Linked DNA regions of Lonchura striata. The protein of the gene in region 4 interacts with the protein of the main gene of each other region in a pairwise test. Links are inferred from orthologs where the notes say so. Each region holds a gene or a part of one and is shown on either strand. Other genes may lie near its edges. The genes, in order: SFR1, SH3BP5, SPTBN1 and CDC5L.

The links.
Region 1: the proteins of CDC5L (region 4) and SFR1 interact in a two-hybrid assay, tested with the Homo sapiens proteins (2 studies listed by BioGRID and IntAct). The link is inferred for Lonchura striata from reciprocal best matches to the Homo sapiens genes CDC5L and SFR1.
Region 2: the proteins of CDC5L (region 4) and SH3BP5 interact in a two-hybrid assay, tested with the Homo sapiens proteins (2 studies listed by BioGRID and IntAct). The link is inferred for Lonchura striata from reciprocal best matches to the Homo sapiens genes CDC5L and SH3BP5.
Region 3: the proteins of CDC5L (region 4) and SPTBN1 interact in binary tests that used the Homo sapiens proteins (3 or more experiments, as listed by UniProt). The link is inferred for Lonchura striata from reciprocal best matches to the Homo sapiens genes CDC5L and SPTBN1.

The regions. Positions count from the first base shown.
Region 1 is NC_134609.1:21,115,727-21,123,324, forward strand, and holds the start of SFR1 (swi5-dependent recombination DNA repair protein 1 homolog), read left to right. Parts: upstream 1-4,310; 5' UTR 4,311-4,668; intron 4,669-6,115; 5' UTR 6,116-6,135; coding exon 6,136-6,231; intron 6,232-7,307; coding exon 7,308-7,598. UniProt on the Homo sapiens protein: Component of the SWI5-SFR1 complex, a complex required for double-strand break repair via homologous recombination. Acts as a transcriptional modulator for ESR1.
Region 2 is NC_134603.1:114,406,979-114,414,962, reverse strand, and holds the start of SH3BP5 (SH3 domain-binding protein 5), read left to right. Parts: upstream 1-4,862; 5' UTR 4,863-4,878; coding exon 4,879-4,959; intron 4,960-7,240; coding exon 7,241-7,303; intron 7,304-7,984. UniProt on the Homo sapiens protein: Functions as a guanine nucleotide exchange factor (GEF) with specificity for RAB11A and RAB25. Inhibits the auto- and transphosphorylation activity of BTK. Plays a negative regulatory role in BTK-related cytoplasmic signaling in B-cells.
Region 3 is NC_134605.1:27,475,776-27,483,333, reverse strand, and holds the start of SPTBN1 (spectrin beta chain, non-erythrocytic 1), read left to right. Parts: upstream 1-4,273; 5' UTR 4,274-4,449; intron 4,450-4,455; exon of another isoform or gene 4,456-4,572; intron 4,573-4,658; exon of another isoform or gene 4,659-4,784; intron 4,785-4,997; exon of another isoform or gene 4,998-5,125; intron 5,126-5,323; exon of another isoform or gene 5,324-5,599; intron 5,600-7,558. UniProt on the Homo sapiens protein: Fodrin, which seems to be involved in secretion, interacts with calmodulin in a calcium-dependent manner and is thus candidate for the calcium-dependent movement of the cytoskeleton at the membrane.
Region 4 is NC_134605.1:109,085,975-109,093,538, forward strand, and holds the start of CDC5L (cell division cycle 5-like protein), read right to left. Parts: upstream 3,261-7,564; 5' UTR 2,968-3,260; coding exon 2,923-2,967; intron 5-2,922; coding exon 1-4. Other genes in the region: uncharacterized protein LOC110468941, read right to left, coding at 7,490-7,564.

The DNA.
Region 1 (7,598 bases), on a different chromosome or scaffold from region 4:
GAGCAACCAAAGAGTTATGTGCATACAGCACCTGATAGCAAGTATGTGAGAAAATGAAACAACTCTTCAAGCTCTGCTACAATTCAAATACTTTTAACAGGAAAATATACTCAGGCCATCAGAGATGGCAAAAGCTGTACCAGGGACTAGTTTGGGCAAGGGCTTAGATTTAAAAGGCTTCAATTTTCTTAAAATAATAACCAGTTCTCCAGCATAGACAAGAACATTGAAGGTCTGTTTATGTTTCCTTTATCTGCTACAGTCTCATAAAGACTTTATACTGTAATCTTTGACTTGTTATGTTAGAGAAAATCCCACAGACACAGAAATAAGAGGCAATTGTATGCCAACCCCTTTTATTAGCACCGTGCCTCACCCCCTTGGTTATTCACACATGCAGCAGTGAGAACTACACTGCTCATCTCACCTGGCTCTTACATTATCTTTTGTAATGGCAAATTGCAGTGCCCCTCAGCTACAATAAATCCCGGAAGGTTTTATTTTCAAGACAGCTACCTCAAAAATTGCAAGCCAGAGATATAAAGCAGACAAAGGCAAAAAAAAAAAAAATTACTTTTGGTGTAGTTTATCCTGATGTCATTCTAGAGACTTCACTTTTAGTTACTGGGCACTTGCACCATTATCAGAGCAGAATCCATCTCCCAAGGACAGGTTTTGTTGTAGTAAACTGGTTTTACTCCAGCTGGTTTATAAAGTCCTACCCTTGGTGTATTTACACGGCCATTAGCAAGTCAGAACACCTTTCAGAGAAGTGAATTGCAGACAGCCAAATCACAGCCCTAGGCTGATGCAGAAGTGGGTAGGGTTTTTAAACTTTCTGCAGCAGTTAGTGTTTAGGCACATAAAAGCACCCCACCCTCGTGCCCCAGGCAAGAGAGAATACTCAGACATTGCAGAGTGTACTTCATGCATCAGGATACATCGCTTGGCTTTAAACGAGGTCAACAGATTTCAGAAAAATGAGAGAAGGGGGTAATACATATATGCCTTAAAACAGTATGCTGACTAACATCCCAGATACTCAGTGGCAATGTTTAGGGGGAAAAGGCCTGGTTGTTGTGCCCAGCAAACTGTTAAATGGAAGTTTTATGATGCTCCTGACACTCTGGAAGACAAGAACCCATAAAGCTTAAACTGGAGTTTCTAAACTCAGAGCCAGTATCCTTTTTTATTACTTTCCATTATGACTTTGCTACTACAGATGATGCCCACAGAGGAATTAAAACATGTAATTGTCCTGAGAACACTGCTGTGTCAGCCCCAGTGCTCCAGTGCTGTTCTGGTACCACAAGATTATTGAGAGGGTACATGGATAATATCTTTCACTGTGTAGCCAAACTGGTGTACACTTAGAAGAAAAAATAATCTGATAACTAAAATGTCAATGCAGAAATGCCAAAGAAAATAGAATCAAGGAACACATTTTGGTTCCTCGGGGAAACTAATATCTTTGAAGGGAAGTGGTATGTTCAGCAAATAGAGATCAATAATTTTATTACCCAGTGCACAGTTTCTTACACATTTTTTTCAATTATTTTGCTTACCCCAAACTCTTCTGATCACAAGAGGAAGCAAAGAAATCAAACAACAGCATTGCAGTGCTTAATAAACACTATTGCAATGAATGTGCTACTGTGTGCACATACTGGTAATCTTAACTTAACAGCAAGAGAAACACTCTGCAGTGTGCCATAAACATGCCAGGATCAATGACACATGGATAATCTGTTTTCCTCAAGGAAAACAGATGAGCAGTTTTTGAGAGGAAGTTTTCAGTCTGACTCTGGTTTGCCAGTTGTAGAAAACATAATATCCATCACTATTGTGTTTCTGCAATAAACATATTGGATAGTCACTGCATAGTGCTTGATGGCACTCTAGTTCCCAGCTCTGCAGGAGCTCCAGCCAAGTGCTGGGCGAGTCATGTTTTTGCAGTACTGTGTAAACACCAGGTAAATTCATAGGAAAATGGAGTAAACACAGCTAAACAACACTAACCTGAACAAGATCTTTTTCTAGAGTCATTGCCCATCAATGAGTACATGACAATATTTCCTTTCCTCTACTCTAGATGCAGCACACTAAACTCACACACCCAACACATGGCACCATTGTTCCAAATTCCCAGTCCCAAACAATCTGTAATCTCACTTGGGGTGGGGCATACTGGCGTTGCTCTAATTAAGTACAATGATAATGCACAGGATGACTTTTTCATGTGTTATGTTCATGTAAAATCTTACTGGAATCTCACCTGGCAAATGATCTAAAATCTCAAGCTTTCTGTTGTTCTTGTGCAACTCATCTGTTAGCATGTCTGTACAACAGAGCATGAGTAATTTAAAGTAGGGACCATCCTTGAGATTGAAGGAAATACCCTGTGGTCTTGGAGACATGCCATCACAAAGCTCCAGAGCATCCAACCCTCTTGATAAATTTGTAGCACTTTTGCTGTTGCACTCAGGAGTCCATTTTTAACATATTTAAAAATTAAAATATCTGCAACATTAAATTAGCTGAAGATTTAAAAAAAAAACAAACCTCAAAACCCAAAAAAGGGGCAGATTTAAAAAATGCTTTCAAACTGCCTCAACACTTGGGGTATTGTTCAGCAGGGTTTTTTTGGTAGATGGTTACAAAACATAGTACAACACCACATAATGTAAATTCCCACATTTGCTATGAAAATATTATTTCTGAATCAATTTCACCCACAGATAAAATCTTATACAAGGTGTATAAGTTATATAAGTTGTATAACTTATACAAGTTGTCAGATTTCCAAAAACAACTTGTAGATGGGCTTTGAATGCTTTGATACCTTTTACTGTAGGAGAGTAAAAGGTTGCTATCATTCCTGTCAAATACTCTTTGAAGTGTGTGGATCTATGAAAATTCATGGTCAAAACTGCAGCAACTGCTAACACGTTATCACACCTACAACACTCAGTGCTTACGCATCTCTTACCTCCAAATTGTCTCTGGTCTCAATAGAGATGGGAGTTACACAAGGTGAAGAGAAAATAGTGTCCTTATCTGTAGCAGGAACCAGGCAGGAAATTAATGCAGTTCTGACACAGAAGCTAAGGGCATGATCCAGCGAGAGCATGTGGGTGCCTGTACCCCACGTGCTGCTCTCAGCACAGCTGCGTGAGGCATCAATGCACAGCTCGGGGCAGTTCAGCTCTGGGCAGTGCTGGAGGAACCACTGGGACATCATCCCTAAGGGCTGGGAGCTGTTGTTGTTATGGCTTCCTCAGCTCATTCTGTCAGTTCTGACAGTTACAGCTGAAAAACGTTTTGTACAAATCAGTTTTGAGAGAAGTAAATCCACATGGGGAAGCCAGGTGTACAGCTGACAGCAACAGGAAAACCACTCTTCAGCAGTGCCTTTGAGTGTAAGGGAACTCTCCAATCCTGAACTGCACCGTGCAGCCACAGCTGGGATTGCTCCTTGTACAGTCACAATCTCCCTATTTCTCCAGTCAAATGTCTTAATTTTCTCTTCTTTCCCACAACCATGACAGTGCTGCTCAGGTCACACGTCTCCCAGTGAGTCCTTCAGTTACACTTTTTCCCCTTATGTGAGGAGATGGTTTCTGGGATAAAGGCTTTTGCAGCTCGAGGTGGAGAGTTGTGGCTCCCTTGGCTGTGCTGTGCTATCCGTAGTGGGGAGCACTGCACACTGAGGCAGACCGACCGCCCTCCCTGGCACAGGACACTTGCAGGGACATTTCTTATCGTTTCTTATCCCTGGCAGCTAGGCCAGGGAAGGTTTAGGTTGGTCACTACGAAAAATTTCCGCATAGGAATTGTGATTAGAATTGGATCAGACTGCACACGTAGATCCTGAAGTCACCACCCCTGGAAATGCATAAGACTGAACACAGCACTTGATGCCAGGGTCTAGCTGACATAGTGGCGCCGGGTCATAGGCTGGATTCGACGATCTTAAAGAACTTTCCAGCCTGATTCTGTGAGGTGACACCAGGCCTTGATCCAGACCCCAGCCATGGCGTGGCCGGCCCACGCTGGCCTAAGGGACACAGCACCGCCTGGCATGCCTAGATGCAACAGGAAAGTCTACGAGGTCCTCGGAGACGCCTCGCGTTTCCCGGGAGCGGGAGCGGGACCTCCCTCAGGCTCCGCGCCCGCCCCTCAGCCCCAAGCGCCGCCCGGGCACGCGGGGCGCGCAGGCGCGGCCGCCCCTGCCCGGCGCGGGAGCTGAGGGGGCAGAGCGGGCACAGCGGGCAGAAGCGCCGCTCCGCCCCGTCCTTCCTCCTCCGCCCCGTCCTTCCTCCTCCGCCCGGTCCTGAGGGCTCTGTGCTCCCCGAGGGGCCTCCCTGCGCTCCTCAGCCCCGAGGGCCGCTGCTGTGGCGGCGATTTTGGGGTGCCGCGCCTCAGAACCAGCTCCACGGGTCTGTGGCCCTGCTTATGGGCTGCACGGTCTTCGTCCTGCTTCTCTGCGGGGGGAAAAGTAGCAAGGCAAAAGTTTGAGTGTTAATAGTATTGTGTTAATAGAGTGTTTAAAAGTATTGAGCCTTTTGTTATTGAGACAGTAAAAAGAGTACGTGCCTTTATATAACGTAGCTATAAGCAGGAAAACAAAGGACGTAGTTACAGACGTACCCAAAGTGCAAAAGTCAAGTAAGTACTGAAAAGTAAAATTGTTTTTTCCCCTTCTAATTCAAATTTTCTTTGCTTGCTGGACACAGTTTTTTGTGCGGTGAACAGCATTACTGGTTGAGAATGCCAAGGATTCTTAGCCGAAGATACAGGAAAAGGATTTTAAGCGTGCAGGAGATCTGTGAATATGCTGCCAAGTAACAGCATTAGCAAACGACTGGAGAAAGTATTTGTTATGGTCATTTAAAAGCGAATTTGCATTAGAAAGTAAAGGCAGAGAATCATAGGATTGCTTGGGGTTTTTAAAGTTATCTCTTAGGCTTAAAATTATTTTGCTCCTTGGAAAATTCTTACTATCTTTCATATATATATACTATATATAGTATCTTTGATATATATATATATACTATATATACTATCTTTGATATATATATACTATATCTTTGATATACAGTATACATAAGAATGTTGCTTTTTCTAGGCTCTTCCTTACAAAAAGAAATAATAGTATTAAACTTCCATTATATTTAATGGATGCTGTGGTTTCCTGTTTAATTGATAGATTGCTAAAATACCAAATTAACTAGACTCCTTACTAAGGTCTGGGTTTTTATAATAGAGTACCATATGTTCAGTTTTGAACATCTGGGGGGAATGTTGACTTCTAAGATAAATGAGGCCCTCCATCCTTTGGTATCAAGCCCAGGGTTGCTGGGCTATTAAGGCTTTGGCATTCTGAAGCTTTAGCAGTTTTCATCTGTGAGGAGGAAGCCCCTTGTGCCAGCCCTGTGTTGCCTAGTTGTAATTCGCAGGATTTTATTCTTGAGAGGCTTCTGTTTCAAAACTGGTAATTGCAATTTGCAGGTGAGTGGAGGTATAACTGTTGATTTTCCAGCTGCATTCTGGTCATTAGTAGGTGGTTCACAATTGCTAAATGAAATTAAACATTGCCAAATCGATTTGAAGTTGGTTCGTGCTGGGAGGTGTGACTTAACCATTTTAATTAAGGCACCTTTCTGAGTGAGCTTGGGATTTTTCCTGTTAATCAAAACTTCCACCTGTGTGAGTAATTACTTTTTAAAGCAGGATCCCCAGAAGGATCACATGAGACTGGATACCCAATTATATTGTTCTATAGAAAAGATTGTTTATATTTGTGGACAACAAAAATCCTTCTGGCTCCACAGAGCTTTTGGAGCAAGGGGAAGAATAATATATACAATGGATTGTGAATGACTTCATGGCAGTTAGTTGTGTCATGGATCCTCTCAAAGAAAAGCTGTTCACAAAGCAAGATGCTACTTAGCACATGAAACAGTTGTGTAACTTAGCAGATGTCCTTTTTGAACATGCCAATTAGAAAAGAAGCCTTAAAATTTCATATTAGAGCTTTTTACTAATTTCTGCAGCCACATGGCTCATTATAACAGGTGACAATGACACCATAATTCATTCTGTCATTTAACAGAGACAGCTATTTATCTCGAGATGGAAGAGTCAGTGCTGGATAAATTGCCATCTTTGTGCAATACTCCAAAGGATTCTGGGCCAGCACCTGCACAGGGCACTAGTTCAGGGAAACAGGTATGAAAACTTCCTACTTTTCCAATAATGTGATTGTTCATAGTAACAAAATGCTGGTGAAATCATCGAGGAGTCAGAAGTCACTGAGATGCTGCTTGCTGGAAGGCTAGAGACAGGCACCTTATACCTCTAGCTACAAGGCTGTGCAGGTAATAATGTGCCTGGTGTACTTTGCTCTGAAAATGCAGATGCTTGCTGTGTGTACAAAGTGATGGAGCAAGTGATGGCCTGTTAAGAAATTTAAATACTATATAGGGTGTGTGATGGATCTGTCATCGGTTTTCTCAAATCCTGGTTTTCTGGGTTGCTGTGCATGCAGGATGACTTTCTGTGACTTCTGCCTGCAGTGGAACAAAGTACAATGCTTTCAGTTTGTGTATTATCCATAGTGCTGAGCTCTGCTTTGGTCTTATCCTGGGATGCGAAATGGTGATACTGCAGGCTTGGTTTGAGAGTATTCTGTAACTAATTCCCCCCTCTTGTATTTTAGTGCATTTCTATAAATAAAAATGTTAGACACAGATTATAAAAAAAATAGTTATTTTGAAGAAAAAAAAATGTTTTTAGATGCTTGTAAAGTATCTCAAAGCATGAACAGGTCAAAATTATACAGGTATTTCTAATATGTTCTAGAATACAGATGTTTTGTACTAGTTCTAATGCAGATGAATGGGATGGAACAGCAGGAAAGTAACCCTTACCTCCATTAAACTAGAGGGGAAATTGGTAGAATAAAATTATCCAAGTTGAAATATGCTGTATTTCTTTTACACAAACACTAGATGAGTAAGTTTGCCTCAACAGAATACAAGATTTTGTCCAAGAAAATGTGGAGCTACACCTTTCCGTATCTTGCAGCTGTGTGTGCAAATACAAGTGAAAGGAAGATGTTAAATTTGTTCAAGTTTTTGAAGGCTATACAGACAATTAGGAAGTCTGGCTTTACAATGATCGTTAAATATATTACATATTCTATGTAAATAATAATGATTGGTAAACGGTGATTTGAGATTTGATAAAAATTTAAGAATATTCTGACCACCTGGCTTTTCTGGGTTTATTTATTATTTTTTCAGCAAATGAGTGCAGCTCTGAGGGAACGATTAAGGAAAACAAGACGTTCATTTAATGCCAATTTTACAGTGGCAAAGCGGCTCAAAATAGACATTGAAGAAAAAGACACTAAAGACATTGCTGGTGCTGACACAGGGTGCTTGCCAGAGGCCAGTACAGACTGTTCCAGCTTACAAGATAGTTCTGAAAACTTGGAAGGAAATGGCACTGGACATACATGTTTCAAAAGTCCCTCACAGGAGAGTGATCCCTGTGGATCAGCAGAGAATTCGGATGTGCTGCAGGTTGATCTT
Region 2 (7,984 bases), on a different chromosome or scaffold from region 4:
AGATGCTCAAGCTCCATTAATATTTCTTTGTGTGCAAGTTCACAAGGCGATACCATCTTACAAACTGGTGTAGGAGAGATAATTGATTTTTAGTGCTTTCTGAAATGCAGAGCACAAACATGCCACAACCACTGTGGGTATGGAAGCGTGAAAAATTGCTTGAGAAATAAGCCGGGGGAAGTTTTGATTCTGACCACTTTGTGTTTAATACCCTGCATATGCATCCAAGAAATTTAAAATCTTCAATAAATGCAGTGCCTATCTTCCATAAAAATTTTGTGCTTAGCCTCCTATAAAAGATTAAGTGATAGAGGCCCAGATCTTCAAATGTACTATAACTGTGGGTGAGATCCCACTTAATGTTTATAAATGTTTCCAACATGTGCAGTAGACTTCTGAAAACCAGGAAAGTATACCAGATTTGAACACTGGCAGAGCAATGTCTTTGCTGCAGTTTGGAAGATAGAGGTGGTGGCTCTGTGTTTAACTGAGACATTCCCTGAGTTAAGCTAATTTCTGGTGTAACATTGCAAAAGTCAGTGTAGTAAACTGGTCTTCAGGGTTAATTCAGCTAAGAAGCTACGCAACAGATTTTATGCTCATAAATGTATTTTGGGGACTGTGTTACTTCTCAGAATTGGACTGTTTATACTTCTGTGTTCATTTGTTGGTAAATTATTTAAAAGTGAATTGCAACAGCACTTCAACATTTGAAACCATTTGAAAGTTAGCCTCTAGCACCATCATCAATAGAAGCAGAAGAACTTTTCAGAGCAGAACTGTTTCTCCAGTCCCCGTGAGGAGAGGGGCAGTATTCTGTAAGCAGGGTTCTGTCTCTTAGGCTGTTTTCTCCTTGAACATTTCCATGAGCTGAAATGTGTTTTCAGTAATCAAATATGCATTAATTAGTCCTGAACTCTGCTTATTTGCTATCTATGTTCAGAAAGACAAGTTACATGTTTATGAGGAAGGAAATACAACTTTTGATTTGTATTTTAGGCTCTTGCCTCTAGTGCTGGGGCAGAAGCAAGCCTTGAGGGCAAGTATGAGCAGAAATTTGAATGTAAGATGAGATTTTGAAAAAAAAATCTTCCTTAAAATCCATTCAGAACCTAGCATTATCAAATATATGTAAAATTACACTCTCCATTCCCTTTGAATTTTATCCTTAAATTAACTGTAGTCATTAGGATGTTTCCTCAGGCGATTCTTCACTGATGCATTCTTCTTCCCAGCTGATTTTACTTAAAATGCAAGTTCTAGTTCCCCAATGGCTATTCAGTAATGTAATACCGAATCTACAAGCCATCTTCCAGAATGAGGAAGAGAATTCTTCCCTGTATTCCTTCCTCAAAGCATTTCAATCTTTCTCTTGCCAAATCTTTCCCTTGCCTGTACACTGAGGATTTCTGTGGGACCAGATAACGTGATTATGTAGCAGCTTCCCCCAAAAGCAGAGTTGTAGCAGTTCTCTCAGCCAGAACATCACCCTTGCCTAGGGATTTCTGTCCAGGGCATGATGTTAACGGTAAAGTTTCCACCCTAAAAACCTACCGTAATGCCACAAGGCAGAGGTGTTGCCTGGTACATTTAAATTAGTTGCTGAAGCAGCTTGGATCATGGCTTTTCCTGCATCAGAACCTCTCCTTGTGCTTTTTAGATGAGCTTTATCCTTTGCAGCATAGCTCATGTTAAGTTGCAGCCCAGCCTGACAAGTCTGGACTAATTCTCTGCTGTGGCCACTCTGGAATCCCATTAGTGAAAGAGCAAGCGGTTTCTTCCTGCCTTGACTTCAGAGTGCTTTGTTCAAATATTGAATACTTGGGACTAGGGTTTTGAAATATTGATACAGGAGAAAGTACAGACTGTCTTGGTCAGGCCTCGTGCAAGCTTTGCTCAGATGCCTTGGCGCACGCAGGGCCTGTGGGGGAAGGAAAAGGTCAGCATGACTGGCTTTCTTGGCTGGGGTGGGGCTGGGGAGCAGTCTGGCCTTTAACAGATTGTGTAGGAGGGATTTGCTGGGATGAGATCACTCATGATTTGGCAAAAATAATACCCAAATGCCATCTACTGCAGTTCACTTCTTGCACAGGACTGACCTAAGCGGGGCATAGAACCACAGAATGGTTTGGGCTGGAAGGGACCTGAAAGATCTAGATTAGCTCGATCCCTCTGTCATGGGCAACAATGGCTTCCATTAGACCAGGTTTGCTCAAAGCCCCATCCAGCTTGGCCTTGAACACTGCCAGGGATGGGGCATCCATAACTTCTCTGGTCAACCAGTGCCAGTGCCTCACTTGCCCCACAGTAAAGAACTTCATCTGATATGCCATTCCAGGTGGGCTCTCACCAGAGTGGATCAGAGCAGGAGAATCACCTCCCTCACCTGCTGCTTGTGCTTCTCTTGATGCAGCCCAGGATGTGGTTGGCTTTCTAGGGTTGCAGCACACATTCCTCAGTCACGTTGAGCTTCTTGTCAACCAACACTCTCATGTCCTTCTCTTCAGGGCTGCTCTCAGTACTTTCTCCAACGAGCCTGTGTTTTTGCTTAGGATGCCCCAACCCAGGTGCAGCAGCTTGCACTTGGCCTTGTTAACTTTCAGAGGTTGGCCCAGACCCACCTCTCACATCTGTCAAGGTCCCTCTAGATGAGGTCCCCTCCCTCCAACCTGTCAATCACACCACACAGCTTGGTGTCACCAACAATCCTGTGTAGAGCATGCCCGTGTGTGAGGCCTGCCTATGTGATATGTAAGTTTGTTCCTCGGGTATTTCTCAAGTCCTGCTGCCCTTTGCATGGGACAGCAGTTTCAGCAAAAACCATTCTGTGGCTAAGAGAAGAAAATGAACATGTAAATAATAGCCTTGAGTCTTTTATTGATCTTTTTTGTACTGAATAGTCTCCCATTTCCCTGTTCCGTCAAATCTTTTCCTCAGGCCACTTTTCTGTTAATGCCTTAATGATGTCTGCAGTAATGACAGATGTGCATTTTTCACTGATTTTATTATATCCAGATCTTCCCAGCATACTGGCTTGATATAAAATGATCTCAATGTCCTCAGGGCTCTGTGAGAGATTTCAGATTCATGGGAAAAGGGGCTTGTGTATACACACCATCTCTTGCACAGTGCTAAGCTCTGCAGGCAGCTCTCCCAGCTTTCTAAATCCACTGTGCAGCTAAGGAGAGAGACAGCTTGCTCTGCCTTGATGGTAGCAGATTGATGAGTTTGGCTGGAGGTTTTCGAGCTGCAACAATCACAGGGATTGTTACAGTGGTAATGGAAGAAGAGGGTCCTTTGTGCAAACATAACAAATATCTTTGGGAGAGCATGTGTGTGCAGGAGCACTTCTGTATCCCAAGCGGTGGGCAGTGCCTTTTGTGACATCACCATGGGTAAGCCTGTGCAGGATTTGGAGGAACAGGGCATAGCTGCAGTGAATTTTTTACATAGTCTTGTTTTTTAGAAAACAAAGGGGCAACAGCAGGACTATCCACATTAAGTCTTCCATGTGCAGCTTTGTGTTTTCTGTGCTGATGATGGGAGTGTTGACTATTTGACCAGTCTATAGTCTACAGTCTTGGCATGAGCACACCAGGGAAGAGAAATGCCAGGGCCCTGGGAACATCTGGCTGTATGTACACATCAGAATCCCCTAAAAGACAGCAGTAAGAGTAAACACTTGGCTTTGGCTAATTTGGTTTTTGGTTTGTTTTTATTTTTTTCCCTCCCTTTACATGATTTTTTCTGCTGTGAGCAGTGAAGATGTTGCAAACAACCCATCTGCGTTTTTGCAACACCTCCTCTGTTCCTTGATTATTTTAGTTTGTTGGTGTCACTTTGCATGTTTATACCATTTTCAAATGTTTATGTCACTCTCTTCCCATATTTTGTTTTTTATCCCCTCGGTTGCTTTATAGCATTTGGAAGAGCTTGACTGCTTTAGTTTTGCCTCCCTTTTAACCTTAGTTACCTTAGCAATGTTAATTTTTATCTTCTTATTTTAGCTCCTTATTTTTATCTTGTAAAGAGATATGAGATTCTTTTTCACCTTTAGTCTCACAAAGGAAGCTTCTTTCTTCACCACATCTAAATTTTCCATTTTTTATTACCTTTGGAGGATTTTTCAAACAAAAACATGAGGCTAAATTAATAATGTTACTTTAAAGGTGGAAATATATTCCTCATCTGTTCAAAATTACTTGTTATCCACCCCTGTGATTAGGCAGGCACTAATCTGAAGAACTCTGCTAGACATGGGCCATGCATGTACATAGTTCTTGTTCGAAGTTCCTTTTTACTGACAACAAAGGGATGTGTTTTCAGTATGTCTTTTTCTTCTGCATGCAGCAGGTACAATAGTTGCCCGCTTAGCTGCCACACTGTAGAAATCTGGGTTGCATTTGAATTTTCAAGGTTGTTGGAAGTGCCTTTAGTAATTTTTTTTTTCTCCCTTTCTCGCTTTATACATTTTTTTTTCCTCTCCATGGGCATGTCAGCCTCCAGCAGAGCTTGAAAAAGAGGAAAGAAGGAAAGAAGGGGAGGAAAAAATAAATTAAAAAAAGCCAGCAAGGTGTCCTTAGCGTTTCCCTGCACCTGGAACTACTCATCCTGGTTTCACGCAGCGCCGCTGCGGGGGGGACCAGGAATTAGCACGCCAGAAAAACGGGGCGTGAGGGAGGGTTAAAGAAAAAAAAAAAGAAAGAAAAAGAAGCGGGGGGGAAAAAAACGAAACCCCGCAATTTCGCCGTTTCCCTCGCTGCGCTGCGAAGGCACAAAGAGACGGGGGCGCTGTGGGGAGGGAGGGGTTCCCCGGAGGCGGGGCCGGGCGGCGGAGCCGGGCCCGGCAGCGGCGGCGCCGGCGGCAGCGGGGCCGCCATGGAGCCGGGCGGCCGCCGGGGCCGCCCCGCCGAGGAGCCGGCGCGGCCCGACGACGAGGAGGTGGACCCCCGCATCCAGGTGAGGGCCTGCCGCCGAGGGGCGGCTGCGTTTCTTAAAGTTCGTTTCAATGTGTGTGTTATGGCTGTGTGTAACAATGGTTGTGTCTTTTATTTCATTGGTTTTGCTGCGTATGTGCACGCATGCATACATACATATATACATGTGTGTGTATATATATATATATATACATATATATATATATACACACACATATATACATACAAACATGCATATATATATATATATGTGTGTGTGTGTATATATATATATATATATATATATATATATATATATAGATGTGTGTGTGTGTGTGTATATATATATATATATATATATATATATATATATATATATAAATTTTTTTTTTTTCTCCCGGAGTAGCCCCGGGTGTCTCTGTGCCCGCCGGGAGCGGGGGAAGCGCCCCCGGAGCGCCCCAGCCCTTTGTTACCCCGGGCATCGCTCCGGGCTCTGTTGGGCGTCCCTCCTTCTCCTCCTCCTGCTGAAATCCACCCCCCCTCCCCTTTTTAGTTTTGACCATGACAGCGTGACCTTGCTCGTGGAGCGCGGCTGGTGCTTAGAAATTCGTAAATGCGGGAAAATATAGGTTTTAAAATTTTATTTCATTATTTTTGTCATTATTTTTTTTATGTCTCGTAAGAAGGAGCTTTAGTGGAATATGGTGCTTCTTCTAGGTGAATGCCTTCTGCAATGCTTTTTATTCTTGCATGGTTTCTAAACAAAGCTTTTCTCCCCAAAATCGTGTCTCGACCAATAGTGTGGTGCAAACTTGAAGCACGCTGTGGTTCCTGAAATGAAATGTATTTTTAGGACTCTGCAGATTTATGGTTTTTGCCTCCAGCATTGCTGGTCCTGTTTGTCATGAATGAATATAACACGTGTGTACATTGCTGAGAGGATCCTTGGCGCAGGTCCCCGCGCGCTGTAATTGTCATTCTTTTCTCCATCGTGAGCATTTTGTTTTCCAGGGCTGTGCAGAGCCATTGCAAAATTCTCAAAACATGGTTACACAGAGCGAGGCCCTCAGCCAAAAGCTAGCCTGGTACTGCCCTGATTTTATGAGGCTGAGCTTGGTTGGTATCTATTGATCTAATTTCGGCCTTAGTTTCTTCAGCTTGCAACACGTTTCCACATATACGATTTGTGAATTGTTGGCAAAACAATTGTTTTTGTTCAGTTTTCTGTTTGGTTTGAAAAACAGGCTGCTGTGCCTGCTTCCGCAGAGCCATGAGGTTTAGAGCCTTACAGTAAGAGACAATTAGGCAATTTTTGGATGGGTGTTTGTTTCAGACAACATGGACACCCAAATAGGTGTTTTCCAAGTCCTAGGAGTAAGGAAACGAAATCTGACCGCTGAGGCTAAGAGAGCTAAACTGTTGTAATTAATTCCTTTCTGGTTGTAACTGGAGTAATTCTTGTAGTCTAGTGGGAAACTGCTCAAGTGACAATCAATTTACAGCGTTCGGTTTGTACAGCAAAACATTTAATGGCGTGTTCTGTTACACCAGTTGACAATTAAATAATGTTTCAATTGGAGAACATTCCTGTTAAAAATCTTATAATCTCACATGAAGGAACATGTTGCTCAGATAAAGAAAGCTATCAGGTCTCCTCCTAAGGGTTGCTTTTTGAGATAAGAAAGACAGTAAGAATGAGCTTTATTTTTACACTAACTTCATTCATGCCAGCAGCACTTCTGCTACATATTTATTCAAGGTATTTAACACCTTTGTTTCTGCTGTTATGGGATCAAAATGTTGGCAGGAAGGCAAATTATGTGAACATAATTGTACATCCCCTGGACTGGTTGGGTTAATAAATGGTTTGCCAAAATCCAAAATAAAATGCCTCTCATGCGCCAAGATGTGTTTCTTATCAGTTCTGTCCTTTCACTGGGTGTCTCCTGTGATAGTACAAACTTTATGCTAATCTTTCAGCGTGGGTGTGTCTGTCTCCCCAGTACCTCACTGATACTGGCTATATTGATTAATGAGACAGAATACTGTACTTTGTATTTATTTGTAATAGAAAAGAAGTAGCCAGAATAGGAAATGTGTCGCCTTAACATAAAGCTATAGACCTTCTCTGATTATTTTTTCTTTTAAGTAGCAAAGGAGAAGACCACTGGCAAAGTTAAGCTGAACATCTCAAGGTTTCCTCTTTTCGCTAAATTCATTACCCAAAGCTCTTGTGAGCTTTCTGTGGGGATGCTGAATGAGCCTTCTCAGACGTGTTTTTTCACTTGATTTCTTACTATGCATCTGACTTTCTTTCCTTCTAGGGGGAGCTAGAAAAACTGAATCAATCTACAGATGATATCAATCGCAGAGAGACGGAGCTGGAGGTACAGAATTTATCCTTACATTTACCTTTTGTGCATGCTGGATTTTGTGAACAGAAGGACAGTGTTTTTGTGTAGGTTGCCTTCTGAATTTGTGCATCCTGAATGGTAATTTCACAGCAAGAGTCTGGTGATGATGTTTTTAAAGATATTAATTGACCTAACAGCTGAAAAGGTAGAGGTATGCTGACAGTGTAAAAACCCTGTGTGGAGAACCTCTCACACAGCCACTGCCAGAACTTATTTTTAGGTTTTGACACTAAGCTTAGAGAAGTTTTATTTTTACAAGTCGCTGTTTTGTGTTTGTTGATTATAGACAGGGAAAGTTATTTGGTTAAGAGGTTTTTGCCATACAACTATCTGATAGGATCTTCTCTTTGGGGTTTTTTTAGATTGTTATCTTTGCCTTTTTTGTCATCACTTCCTGAGCAAGGAAGGTGGTGAAGGAAAGTTGGAATAAAAGACTTCCTGGTTATACAGAGAGGTTTTCGGGAATACTTATAAATCTAATAGCAAGTTCTGAAGAAATTGTTTCTAAATCCCTAAATTTGAGCTTCATCTTGGTAATTATGTTGGAAGGCTCAACATTATTGATCTAATACTGAAGCAAAACGAACTATCCTATGTGTACATCTAAATTTTATTTTATTTGAAAAAAAAAGAAGATAAAGCCAGTGCAAGTAC
Region 3 (7,558 bases), about 82 Mb from region 4:
GTGCATGGAACTGAACAAGGAAGCACAGACTCAGCAGTTAAAGCCCAGCATTACCAGAGCAAGGTAATCACCACAGAAAGCATTTAAAAATGTATTCATGCTGGTGGGTTCTTGGAGTATGTGCTTAACCTGACCTGAAATCTTCAGTTTCTGTAGAAAAAGTAAGGTTGTCAGGAAAATTAATAAAATCTGGGAGAGGGCTAAGAATTTAACTGTTTTTTCCTGTAGTAGTTAATGGATCGGCTGCACCCGACAACTGTGTTTTGTCAAATTACATGGGCTGATGTGTATTTTTCATAGAATCATAGAATGGTTTTGGTTGGAAATGACCTTAAAACCCATCCACTTCCATCCTCTGCCATGGCAGGGACATCTTCCACTATCCCAGGTTGCTTCAAGCCCTGTCCAACCTGGCCTTGGACATTTCCAGGGATGAAGCGGCCACAGTTTCTCTGGGCAACCTCTGCCAGGGCCTCACCACCTTCACAGAATTTCTCCCTAATATCTAATATAAAACTATTATCTTTCATATTAAAACCATTAAATTTCTAATTAGGTGAATTTCTGATGGATCTGGAGGAAATGGAGGAGTAAAACTGGTAAAACAGAAGGAAAGAGAATAATATTTGGCAACAAGGGGCAAAGTTTTTTGCATAGTTTTATGCAGGTTTTTATGGGACAGATAAATGCTGAGGATTTTGGTCAAATTTCCTCTCCAGTTCTCTTTGGGTGGGGAAACATTGCTGCACCAACACCTTTATGGCATTGAGCCTCAAACTACTGCACCACAAAAGGGGCTTTGAAAGGCCAAGAAACTTCCTGTGCAGTTGTAGACATCCTCTGTGATTTGATTTCTTCTGTGTGGAGCCCACAGGACACAAGAGCAGGTCCCAAGACATTTATTACATTTTTTAATGTACTGCCTTGAACACAATGGGAAGGTCTGTAGGGGATGTTGTGGTATGCTGGCCCCAAGGCCCCTGCCAACTCTCACTAATGCTTCCTGTCCTTCCACAGGGATTCCTGCCAGGACTCCTCTTGGCCACTGGAGATTGCTGTGATGCTGGCAGGGAGAGCAGGAAAGCCATCTTGTCTTCACACTGTCAGCATTTCCACTGCTGACTCCGGTGGCGGGGGAAGGAGACAGCAGCTGGCTGAGGCCAAGGCCAAACTTTTGTAAGTGCCCTGTGGTTGAGTCATTTTCCAGGGTTGGGGATGTTGGGCACATGAAGAAATAGGCCTGGAGCTCACGGGAGCTGATGGTGGAGAGAAAACGGCTGAGAATGGACGCTCTGGGGACAGGGTAGCCACAGAGAGTTGGGGAGCACTTAGAAAAATAAGACATTCTCAACAAAAGAGTATTACCAGACCTCTGATGTGCAGCCTGAGAGTTGAGTTACAAATGCTCTGCATGTCCCTGCTCTTTGTTTCTCCCAGTAGAGCCCCTTCCTGTATCACACACATTTCCCTGTGGCTACTGCATGGGGATACCTGGATGAGTGTTTATTCCCTGATGCAGAATTTTGGGCAGGTCAGCCTTCTGAGCTGGTCATAGAGAAAAGGCAAGCTAAGGATTGAGGGTCAGACACATTTATATTTCCAGTGGCTGTTGGGGAACAGGAATATCCCAGCAAATCCATTCTGGGGAATGCATTGCTGCAACGTGTTTCTGAAGTTAAGGGTGTAACCCTGAGCTGAGTGCAACCAAGGTGCTGAGGGGAAATAGGGTTCTGTGAGGAAATGTTTGTGAAGAGCAGCCATCCTGCTTCCAGACATGCTACACACAGAGAGCTGAGTTTTTCCTCTGAGCATAATCTTGCCCATCTTTGATTTTCCTCTCAAGAGCTTGGCCAAGTCTGCCACGAGACAAAGCTCCAGTCTGGATTTGTGCCTTGGAGCCCCACTGTGTGTCTGCAGCCAGCAGTTACAGGTGGAGGAAAGGTGTGTATGGTGGGGGGAATGGATCTCAGTCACGCTGGGAACCTGTGGGACTGGAACGGTCTGATAACAGGAGGCTTTTCCAGTCTAATGGAACAGTGAGGGAGTTTTTTATTACAATGTGAATTTCTTGGTATGCATTTTTATTGTGTTCTTGGAAATTGACACCATCCTTCAGTATTTTTTTTTTTTTTTGAGTTTTAGTATTGCCTTAACAATTGTGGCTCTTAATATCTCATCTAGATGTGCTGCTTTTGTATCTGCTTGGAAGTACCCTTTTACAAATTCAAATGTAGACCCTGGCAACATGGTTTAGTGGTGGCCTTGGCAGTGCTGTGTTAATGGTAGGACTCAAGGATCTTAGAAGATTTTTCCAACCTAAACAATTCTATGTTTCCAATTTTGATTCATTTTATTTTGAATTATGCATTATGTTATTTAAACTAGGATTTATTTTTAAATTATCTTTCAGAGAGGTTGAAATATGATTACCTGTGCAGTGTTTTCCCCTTGGTGAAGGTGTCAATATGCACATGGACCTATTTCTGTGGGATGAGCATCAAACAATATTGAGTGTGGTGCATTGGTAGATTTTTAAAGGAAAAAAGAAAAACAACTTAAATATTGCTTCATCTGTGAAGAAATGTGTTTGCCTGGGCAAAATATGTGAGGGAAAAAGCCTTGAGCTTCAGAGCCAAACTAACTACAAAGTAGCAGGGCTGAAGGGGAGTGACTTTGCCCAACATTGTTGCTGCCCCTTTCCACTTCATTTAACAACAGTTTCTGTCGTGGCCATTCATTCCAGTCCTTTCACTTTGATTAAAGGAGAGGGAATGTGAACGTCAGTGGGAACAACCTGTTTGTCTGACTGCCTTTAGTTACTGACATTAGGACGTGCTACTAGTTTACCTTTGTGAACATTCCCTGCTGAATTTTTGCCAGGCTGTAGGCTTTGGCTTTCTAACTCTGCAAGTAGAAGGTTCATGCTGAAAACACAAACAAATAGGTGCAGTAGTTTTTAAAATTAAATTAGCATCCTCTCATGTCAAACCTGGGAATGCTGCTGTGAACTATCAGCAGCAAAACACTTGTATCTGCCCTGTTCATTACTTTAAAAAGGAGAAAATGTCTGTCAGTAACTGGGATAACTGGTTGGAACCCACAGTGCCCCCTGCTATTCTGGTTCTTGCTTCTCCAGGCATTCATTCCTACCCAGTTATTTCCATGGGAATCCATGGCCCACCCATCTTTGAGCTATGGGGGCTAGCGAATCCTAAAATACACTGCATGCTCTTGCTCACTCCCAGACATTGCAGGCTTTTGTCCCTTCCAATTTGCTTGATGGGTATTAATAATTGAGGGAAGGGTGATTTTTTAGGATATTTCTTAACATCCTAGCATTTGAATATATTTTTAAAAATTTGTATCTATATACACACATTTTTACTGCATCCCCAAGGTCTGGATATGAACCAGCACAAGTGACAAGTATGAAAGTATGTTCTTAGATCTTATCAAGAATCTTGTCAGCTTCATGGTGACAGAATATTTTAAAGAGACTTTCTGAATACCAGAGGCCCAAGTTTATTGGCATCTCACTGGAAACTGGGAGGAGGATGCACTGCAGGAGCTGTAAGGAGGTAGCTCTGGCAGGGCAGCCTTGGAAACCAAAGGAAAACAAAATATTCAAAAGAGCCAGGCTGATAATTTTGACAGGCTGGAAATGAAGCAGTATTCCAGAGATTATGCCAGGAAGTGGATATTGGAAATTTTGGCAAAGCAGCTGAATGTGAAGGGGCAAGAACCTAGATGAGAGGGAGTTTAAGATATGCAGAGGAGAGGAACTCTAGACAGCAGTAAAATAGCAGTGAGTGTGGGGATGAAGAGTAGGAGAAAAAGGAATGATAAGCAAGAATCCAAATGAATCCAAGCATGGTTTATTTTTTTTTTTTTTAAATAAAAGACATGGATAGCATTGATCCATAGCTGCATTGAAAGTGAGAGGTGAGGGAGAGTGGACAGGAGGGAAGGAGCATGGGCATGAGGAGGGTGAGGACAGGGAGGCAAGCAGGGAGGCCAGGATTAGCAAAGGACACCTGAAGAAGCAGTGTCTGCCTCTGACCTTGGCTGTGGAAGAGGGGGAAGGAGGAAAGGTGCATTGGCTGTGGGACAGCAGTTTTCTTTGGAAAGACAGGCAAAATACTACCCAGGAAAAGAGGGAAAGTGTGGCACAAAGGCAGCTGGACCTAGGTCCCAGGGGTTGGGTTGCACTGGCAAAGAGAGGCTGTTTACGTGGGAAGGTGGCAGGACTGGAGCAGCAGGAGAGGATGACTGCAGTGGAGGAAGTCAAACCCGGGATGGGGTTTCCACTAGGAATGACAGAGCAGCGGGAGGGAGAGCAACACTAGAGCAAATGGATGCTGGGGGCGAGCCAATACTGTCTTTGTGACAGGAGAGAGTGTCAGAGGAGGAGGAGCAAGGAGGCTGGAGAGACCCAATAACGAAATAAATGTAAGAGAAGGGAAGGGGAGCCGGGAGTGGCTGGATAAAACCCACGGAGGGCTGCGAGCGAGGGCCGGCGGAGGGGGAAGACCCGGCGTGAGCACAGGGCAGGCCCAGCAGCAGCATTAGCAGGTGAGGATGCGGTGCGGGCTGGGGCCGTGCCGAGCCCCAGGCGCCGCAGGGCCGCCGCAGGGCAGGAGCGCGGGGCGGGGGCTCCTCCCGCGCCGTCCCCGCCCCCCGCTCCGCACCGCGCGGGGCACGCAGAGCTCACGCAGCGCCGCGCGGGGCTGCGGTACCGCCGGTCCCTCCGCACAGCGCGGAGCCGCCGCCGGGGCAGCGCCGAGGTAGGGCCGGGAGCGGGGCTGGGGGGCGGCCCCTCTTCCCGGGTGCGTGTGCGCAGCGCGGGCGGCGCCCGCAGCCTCCGCAGCCCCGATCGGCGCGGAGCGGGCTCGGCGCAGTCAGAGCCGCCCCGCCCTACCCTACCCTTCCCTACCCTACCCTACCCTACCCTACCCTGCGGCGGCCCCGGCCCGTCCCTGGGGGCAGCGGCGGCCGCCGCCCCTTTCCCTCCCTCCCCTTCCCCGCCCGCGGTGCCTCCTCCGCCGCGCAGCCGCACGCCCCGCGCGGTGCGGTGCGGAGAGCCCGGCTCGACTGCTGCTCCTGCGGTATTCCTTGCTAGACGGATGTAATTCCTCCTTTATTTTTCTTCGTCGGGGCGGGGCGCGGGGGGCGGCGCGGGGGTCGCGGCGCGCTGTCAGCCGGGCCCGCTGCGGGGCTTTGTGTGCGGGAGCGCCGCGCTGACCCCGCCGAGCTCCGGGTGCGGGGCTGCGGTCCGGGCGCGGCCATCGCCCGCTGCCGCGGGTGCCGCGGTGCCCGCAGTTAGCGGCACAATGTGTGGGCTTGGTTTGGTTGTCTCGGGGCTGGCTCTGGCTGTTAGGTGGGTATAGGCCTGATATAACAAAAAAAATATGGCAGACTTGTGCTATAGACTGTGAGACTGCAGCAGCTCTGAAAAACCCTTGTTCATGGCAACCGAGGCTGACGTTTCATTCAGTGGCTGATGTTTTTCCTTTTGGAGTGATGATACAGAACTAGAGTGAGCATTGAATTTGCGATGTTGATGTCTTGATCGTGAATGAAATAGCATTTTTGTTTAAAGGTGAGTAGTGATCTGTGTTTCTGCGTTGTGCTCTGCATTGTCCATAGATATAAATGCTAAATGTTCAAGATCAGGATTGCAAGGAGAGGGAATAAACACAAACTGTCAAGATCCGGAGCGTTTGGCTCATCCTTCAACCTTTATTGACAGGATACCAGCATTATGAAACCTGATTATTGAACAGTTTGGGAAAAGGGCTGGAATTCCCGCAGCCCAGCACCGTGCTGACAGGCATCTTGGGGAACAATGCTCCCCGGAGCCGGGGTTAGAGAGGCAGGGCAGGGAGAGGAATTTATTCCCAGAGATAGCAGCCGTGTGGAAATGTCAGGGGAGGCTGTGACTCCTCAGGCCATTGCAGGAAAGCTCCGCTGGAGGAAGGACTTGCATATGCTGAGAAGGCTCTGGAGGGAGAGACGGGAGTGCAAATGGAACGGGATAAGGGGCTGGGAAGGTGGGTGATGGCAGCAGATGTGCTATTTAAAGAATTGTTCTTATCCTTTGGCATTTCTTTATTTTTTCCCCTCTGTGTTTCTGGGGAGAACAGAAATGGCTGTACTGATGCCTCCATGACATAGCAGTGGTTGTAGGGATGTGAGGAAGGATGAGGGGCTGGCTCATGTGCCACAACTAGTGCTGAAGAGGCAAGAAAATAGGGAATATTTTGTTACTTCAAGCAGGAACATAAGGGAGAATGATGAATGTGGAATCGGGAGGTTCTTCTGGAACAGAACCCACTTTGGGTTTTTCTGTAATGCAGGTTAAGTGCAGCAAATGACACTCACTAAAGCAGGATGCAGCATTTTGGGATAAATAGGAACTTGCAGCAGGCATGTGGCAAAAAGCGTTAGAGATGCTGTTTCATCTCTGTGGTGGCACAGATCCTGCAGCTTTTGGAATTGCTGTGTGTTACTGAGCCCTGCCTGCACACAGGAGTGGGGCAGAGAGGGGCAAAACCCTCTTGCTGCATATATGGAGACCAGGGTACTGCTGTGTGCTGCTCCAACAGCCCCTGGAGAGGAGGAATACAAACAATTTAATGAAAGATGTTTTCTTTTTCCTTCATCATCTATAAAATGGAATCAGCTAAATACCCCCTTTATTGGATGGGCCTGGATTGCTCGTTTGCATTACGTCACCTGATTAAGGATTTATTTTTCATGTGGGTCAGTTACAGGATGAAATATTTGTAGTTGGATTGCCTGCAAAATAATTGTATTTCATTAGCAAGGAGTGCATGGACATCTTTCATGGAACGCAGAGGAGAAAGTCTGTTTATGCAGATGTTTAAGGGTCAGACTGCAAAAGTTATTTAGACTGTTAATCTCTATAGTCACCTAAATTCCTTAGTCATCTTATCTGGGTACAAGTGAACAAACAGCACAACAGTTTATCATTGCCCATTAACCATGAGTCAGCTACTAAATCCTGCCCAGGCTGGTGTCTGTGGCTACAGGCTTCCTGATAGCCCTTTCCCTAGGGTCTAGGAATACCTCTGGAAGTATTGGAGCCCCAGGGACCAGAGAGGTGACCTCTCAGGGCAAGGAGCCACTAGCTGCCCTCAGATCTCTCTGGCTCAGCTGAGGTTGTGCAGGAGAGCAGTGTAGGCTCTTTCTTGCGGTGCCTGGAAACTCCTGATGAGAGCAGGCCTGTGCTCCATGGTAGGAGCCATGGGCTTTCCTAGTGGACCAGCTCCTGCTGTGGGCTGCTCCTGTTCACAGCTGATGGAGCTGGGGAGTTTGCCAGCACGTTGGACCCTTACCTCTGCTGAGGCTCATGGCAGTTTTCCCAAGTGAAACCAGCAGGAATCTGGCCTAGAGGTGTGAAATGTGAAAATCCAGTTGCCTTGTCTTGCTTTAAACCTGAGAAACCATCTCATGTTGTTCTGACCAGATACCACTTGTGTGGAGGAGCAAGTGTTGGAGCTGCAGCTCCACACTAAGGGGAGTGTGGTCCATTGGG
Region 4 (7,564 bases):
CATCCTTGAAAAAACCATAAATAAATACCCTTATGAACTGCAAAACAGAAAGTCTGAGCTCAAGCAAAGGAGAACATGGTAAATTTCATGGGCTGTCCCAGAGGAAGCAGCATAACACAGCGTAACACTGCTACTTCTGTTCCATTTTATTCTCAAGAAAAATAAGGATTTGTATTTCAAAGGTCAATGAAATCTGTAAAATTAAATAAAATAGACACATAAATTATTGTTCCAAACTTCATATACCTAACAGAATTTCCCAAATTATTATTTTCAATGCTCTCTAATGCACTGGTGTTTAAAGGCTCTGTATGTCTTCACTGAAGGACAGCAACAGAGGTAAGGAAGTGTTTGGTAAGACATCACAATACGAAAAAAAAAGTAGAATTGGCAGGCATCTCTGGCTGCCTTGTTTAAACAATACCATAAAATTATCTATTTTTCATATTTTAATGCAATTGGAATAAAAATGGAATAGATCGGCTTGGGAGCCAGGTTGTTCATATACAACAAAATGTGCACTGAGTTTGATCACAAGCCAGAAGTGCCAATTCTCGGTCCATCCATCCATCAATCCTTCTCTCCCTTCCTTGATAGATGGGTTCATTATTTCTGGTTTATTCAGAGGAAGTGGTATTTTAAATACATGAAAGCTGTTCTTACAGCCCTGTCAACCACAGATGTCCCTCTCCTGTACCCAGTGAATGTTCAGTGAGTCTCACACTATCTCCACTGACACCACCCAGAGAACAACAGCTTTAACTGTGCGCTTATGATCAGCTCTTGATCTGGCTTGAGCTGCTGCAGGCAACAATTCATGTGACTACTGTTCTGACATAAATAATAAATCCTCTCCTGTGTGTTTTTTTTTTAAACTTACTTGGTGCTCTATGGCACACAGGAGCTGTACTGGTGACATTAACAGGCTTTTTTTGCATGTAATGGGTCATTTTATGAATGATTTGGTATCACCTGATTTCCCTTTCTCTGTCTTTAATGCTGTATGTATAATCAAAATGTTAAAAAAAAAATCCAACACCTCTTTTATCTCTGGTACACAAAGCCTGGTGAACTGAGGATCTATTTGGCCACTGAAACAGCTCCTCAGGGCAGTAGCCACAGCCTTAAGCCTGGCAGAGTTCAAGCAGCATTTGGACAATGCTCTCAGGCACAGGGTGGGATTGCTGGGGATGTTGTGTGCAGGAGCCAGACTTGATGGTCCTCGTGGGTCCCTTCCCACCCAGGATATTCTGTGATTCCATTTAATGCACCACTCCTCACCAAAATGTATCAAGTATGGAAGAATGGGGTGAAGATATGAATTTTCCTGTCCTCTGCTGATCCCAAATTTAGCTGCTTCCTGGCACATCACTGATATAGCACAGGTGTTTAAAAGCACATACAGCACATTTTATCTTCTATTACTTTTTCCTCACTGCTTCCTGGAACCACGTACATGCCTGGTGCTCACACTATGCAGTGAGAATTCTGTATTTTACAGTGCTAGGTACATCCTTTTGCTTTAAACATGCATCTAATAAAACTGACATCCTTGATTTCCCATGTTATTGATTTCTTTTTCATGACCACTTGTGGTTCTGAAAGCTTGTGACAGCAAAATTGGAGGGGATTGTTCTTTTTTGGAACAGTAATTTCTGTGCACAGGATTCCTGGGGCTGCAGATGAAGAGCCCACACACATTGACAAGAAACAGACTGAAGCTGCACCAGGGGTTTAGATTAGTTATTAGGATGTTTTTTTTCTTCCCATGGAAATGGTGACAGGCTGCTCAGGGCAATACTGGAGTCACCATTCCTGGAACTGATTAAAAACCCATGTAGATGTAGCATTTAAGGACAGGTTAAATGGTGTACATGGTGGTGGTGCTGGGTTGATGGTGGCCACTTGGTGTTCTTAAGCTTTTTCCAATCCTAAAACTTGTATGACTCTGCCTTTGCCATTTTCGTATTTTTAAATATCTTTAAGGGCAAGAGATTCCTGCTGCTTCATTCCCACAGAGCACAAGGAACGTGCCTATGCAGCACAAGTCACACTCTAGCCTGCGAGCGGGACATCTCCAAGCACTGCACAGCCCCTGCTTCCTCTCCAGTAGCAGTGGGAACAGTTCTCTGGGGCATAAGGACACAACACACACATTGCTGAGCTTCCCAATCTGGTGAACAGCCCGAGGGAAAAACAGCACCAATGTGAACTCGTGACCTTTGCCCACTGAAGCAGCAGGAACAAGGCACAGGTTACTGGGGAATGCAGCCCAACAGAGAGCCAGGGATCACAGAATCGGTTAGGTTGGAAAAGGCCTCTCAGATCACTGAGCTTAATCAACATCTTATCACCACCATGTCAACGAGACCACAGCACTCAGTGCCACATCCAGTCTTTCCTTAAACTGGAAGAACTTAACCTTCAGAGACAGTGACTCCATCAGCTCCCTGGGCAGCTCATTCCAATACTCAATCACCCTTTCCTGTGAAGAATTCTTCCTAACGTCCAACCTAAACCTCTCCTGGTGCACTTTGAGGCCATGTCCTCTTGTCCTGTTGCCTGGGAGCAGAGCCTGACCCCCATCCCGCTGCGCCCTCCTGTCGGGGAGTGGTGGAGAGGCAGAAGATCCATCTCTGAGCCTCCTTTTCTGCAGGCTGAGTCCGTCCAGCTCCCTCAGCTGTTCCTCGTGAGCCCTGTGCTCCGTTCCCTTCCCTGCGCTGGCCCCTGCCGAGCCCAGACCCGCTGATGTCCGGGCACAGCGCTGCACAGCCCCGACCCCACCGCGGCACCCCCAACACTGAGCCCCCGCGCAGGCGCACCACGACACCCGCCCCTCCCGCGCCTGCGCACCAGCGAGGGTCCCCCCCCCACCTGCCCGGCCCTGAGGGGGACGAGGGCTCGAACCCCGCCGAGTCTCACCTCGGTGTTCCGCCACACGCCGCCTTTAATCATAATCCGCGGCATCTTGGCGGCGAATGGAGGCGGGGACGGACCCCTGGAGCGAGAGAATGGAGAGGGAGCGGAAGCGCCACTGGCGTCAGCGGGGCCGGCCGAGACGGCGCACGGTCGCCCTCAGCGGCGGCGGGTGCCGAGGGCGAGGGAAGCGAGGCCAGCTGTCAAAAAAGCTGCTCTGTCAGAAAAGCGGGGAGCGGGTCGGGCGGCTTTCCCAGGGAAGCGGGACTGGCGGATTTTGCAATGGAAGTGAGGCCGCTACTCCTCCAGGGAAGCGGGTCCGGCCGCGCCGCGCATGCGCAGCCCCCGCGTGGCCCGAGGCGGCCCTTCGCGCTAGCGCCCCCTGCCGGCCGGAGGAGCACACGGCGGAGGAGCCCGGCCGTCATTAAACTCTTCAAATTGCCTCGTCAAGGGACGCAGGTGAGGGAGGAAAGGGACAGTGGAAGGAAATCACATTTCCCCAGCGTTCCCAAGGTATTTTATTAATTTCAGGAAATAGACCCATGCTTTTTCCTGAAATTAATAACTTCTTGGTTGTGAGGGTGGTGAGGCCTTGGCAAAGGCTGCCCAGAGAAGCTGTGGCTGCCCCATCCCTGGTGGTGTTCAAGGCCAGGTTGGACAGGGCTTGGAGCAGCCTGGGATCGTGGAAGTTGTCCATGCCCATGGCAAGGGGTAGAATGAGATAATCTTTAAGGTGGCGATGCAAAACTATTCTATGATTCTACAAGAGAGCAACATTGATGGTGCATTTGCATGTTAACACTCACATACACACTAAAGGAAATGTATACAAGGTACATACCTGAATTTGGGGAATTTTCATAGTGAGGTACTCATGTCACTCTCAGCAGGTGAAGGGTTGAGTCTCAAGGAGTAGGGATCTCGGCTCAGGATCTGTCACTGTCCCTCAGCTGTGGCCCTCCAGGCATCTCCAGCCTGGAGCTGTGTGGCTCAGAGAAAGCCACACTCAGAGGGAGGTGCTGCTCCCAGCCTGCTGCAGTCTGGAGGGCTCAGAGGCTCTCAAATACCACTGCTTAGAGAGTCACAACAGACTTGACTTTGCTCATAGCAATTTTCCACCCTGGCTGCAACTCAGATTGGTAACTTTCTCTGAAAGTTCAAAACCAAAAACGTTGTTCCACCTGGGTGGTTATTTGGATAAGAAAAATAAGTTCCCAAAGGCTCTTAAAACCCACGGAGCACTTCAGCTGACACAAGTTCCTGGGAGCAGACAGTGTTTTGGATAAGCTCAAGAGGAGCTCGGCTCAGCTTGTCAAGGTCAAGCCCTAACGAGCATTTCTGAGACCACAGTGTGGCCCAAACAGGAGGATGCACCACCACACCATACAGATCTGACTCACTATTGTTCATTTACATCACCTCCAGTTTAACTTGTATTCATTTAATTAGCAGATGCACAGCAGGTAAAATGACAGCCTTTTACTCAATTTGTCTTGTTATATTTCCCTGTTTTGTCCAAATTCAGGATATATTAATGGAGCAAATTATGAAACTTTTTTGGTTTAAATAGAAAACTTGTGATTTAGGAAAGGCTTTGATTTTTGTTTAAACTGCAGGAATAAAAAATACTACACTTCTAGCTACCAAAAAAAAAAAAAAAAAAAACCCAAACCAAAAAAAACTACCAACAACAGCCCATGTCTTCTTTGCAACTGAATATGCCTCAACCTGTAAATTTCATTGACTTAGCAGACTGAGAATACCTTTGAAACCCCAAAAATCCAATGCAGCACATAAGGAACAGAAAGCAACATCAGGAGTCATTGAAGTGCTTATTTTTATTAGAGGCAGTGACTGGGAATAATTAACTTTTATAAGATCAATCTCTTAACTAAAAATACCTTCTTGTTATTACTTAAAACGAAGTAACTCAGATTTACAAACTCTTTCAAAAATTTACTGCAGTTATCCACCTAAACCAGGCTCTTTTGATCATCATTGTACACTATGCTTTTCAACAGTGTTCAATCGTATTTAGCCCTTCTAGTCTCATCTGATATAGAGGCTTACAATTCCTTCAGTATTTTTGTTTTCTCTTTGTACTGCTCTTTTCAAATAAATGATCAGAATTGTAATGTAACACATGTAAAAACATCTCCAAGTTTGAGTAATCATTAAGATTTCCTAGAAATGCTTTTCTTTCTTAATACAGGATAACATTCTTTCTCACAACTGGATTAGGTGGCTCCAAGGTCTAAATCACTTATCTGTAACCACCATGGTTCAAGCACAGATACTTGTCTGACTTTACTGAAGCTGCAAAGAACTGGATCACTTGAACATCTTTGCTGATATGGCCTTAAATAAATCTGTCCATGAGTTTCATTATTGGAAAATTGCCTTCCAAATTGCAGAATGGCTGGACGGGTTCTGGAAGACAAGACCCTAGAAGATGCCCTATTCAGGAAATTAATCTACAGGAGAAGCCTAACACACAGGCAAGATTCACAGATATTATGCTACAAGGGTTATTCATGTATTTGGAAAGAATGCTGTAGCTGTTCTCATTTACAATATTTAGTATGCTTGACAGATATTTGCAATTCAGAATATATAAGTGAAATAGAGAAAAAATTTAACATGCTAGAAATCCATTTGGATTCGGGTAAAATGTGCCACTTGAAATTATTAGTAGCTTGCTAGCATAAGTAAAATATGCTGTTTAGTCTGGTAGCTCTGCAGCACTAGTAAAAACTGCCCCAGCTGAGGAGAAAGAATGCGAATTTCCAACTGAAGAGATAAGAGAGGCTCCTCGAACTTTGAAACAGACAAGGCAGACTCACCCAAGAGTTCTTTCTGTACTTTCTGATTAAAAAAAAAGCTGCAAGGGTAACTAGCTGCAAGAGTAATGCAAAATCAGTAGAATGAATATACATAAACCTATGGTGAAACTATGCATATGTATACTAGTAAAGAAGAATAAAAAGGGATTGAGAATTCTCAAGGGCACACGTGTCTTTTGAAGGGGAATGATCCCCATAATGCAATAACACCACCAGATTTTCAACCTTTACAAGTTGTGAAGCTTGAGTTTTTATGCCAATTCCTAAGTTTATCAATGTATGTATAGACATGCATGGAAATATACACACATTCTACTACAGAATTCTGTAATCCCGGACACCCAGAGCTGGCTGTCCAGGATTACATCCAGATGGCTTTTCAGTATCTGACAAGAAGGGAACTCCACTGCATCTCTGGACAGCCCTTCCCAACCTGTCTCCTATGATACCAGAAAGCCTCTACAAGATATTATCTGTATTTCTACAGAAAGACACACATCCAGAAGCAGAAAAAAAAAAAAAAGGCACTGAATCCCATACTTACATTCTCTCTAAATTAAACCACAGGTTTGTTCTGCTGCTCCATGGACTGAGCTGTAGCATTGGGACAGTTTGCACCAGGCCTTTGCTGTTTTATTTCCTCACACAAGGGGATAACACACTGTTAATAAAAGCACTTAACCACACTCAAGAGTTCCTAGCACTGGGTAACTCCAAAACAAACAAAGATTTGTCTAGATTTGAATATAAATTGGAAGCAGCATCCATCTGGGTTCACCATACACTGGACCACCTGCTGTGTAGTGTACTAGCTCTTATACACGGTATTTTAGACTAAGAGTAAAGTTCTTAAAATAATTTTAGTTTCAGATACTGCTAAGGTTTTTAATGAAACTAAACAGCAACTGCTAACTGAAGTTATTTGAAAAGCATATAATTTAACAATAACAACCAACACAGTAACTACCAACCTGAGAAAAGGTAAGGCATTTCATACTAGATTAACATTGGACATTCAAATAAAATTGAAGATTTAAAGATTCCCAGTATCATAAAATAGATGTTTCTGGACATTACCATTTCTGCCAGATTACTCAAAAAATTATCAAAATTACAGACAACAGCTTAATAAGCATCTTATACATACAGATACATGTAAAACATTTTAATGTCACAATTACCCAGTGAGGACATGCATATTTTGTTTCTGTAATTTGGAGAGATACTATTTTTTTCCTCTTACAAGTATTGCAAAATCACCTGGGAGTAAAGGAGGCAACTTTCAGCAGATGGGAGGTAGCATTTAGCCTCCAGATACACCAATAGTTTTCACATGAAAAGTTATTACTACAAAATATGTTTTTCCTTCCCTCCCGTTACACATTCTTTCAGTTAGTAAAGAGTTTTTCTTACTAAATTTTTACAAGAAAATAAGTGGTGCAGAATAACTCCTTAAACAAAAATGAACACTGGCCAAAATAACTGACCTCTACTGAAGCAGTTACTCAGGGATGAAAAAGTGTCTCCAAGATCTCCAGCACAGCCTGTGCTAGAATTGATGTTCCCACAAACACCTGCAGCAAACCAGTACCCCAAGTTTCACTCTCTTGACCAAAATGCTGGATGCATCCATTACCAACCACTGTTCTGGGCACAGCAAAGGAACATAAAACCATGAAGAAATTCAGGCCATGCAAACCTGGCCAAAACCAAGCATCAACTTCCAATTCTCAACCTGACATCCCAACCTTGTGCTGCTGCTTATGCTTCTCCAGCAGTTTTTTGGTGGGCAGCACCACATTACA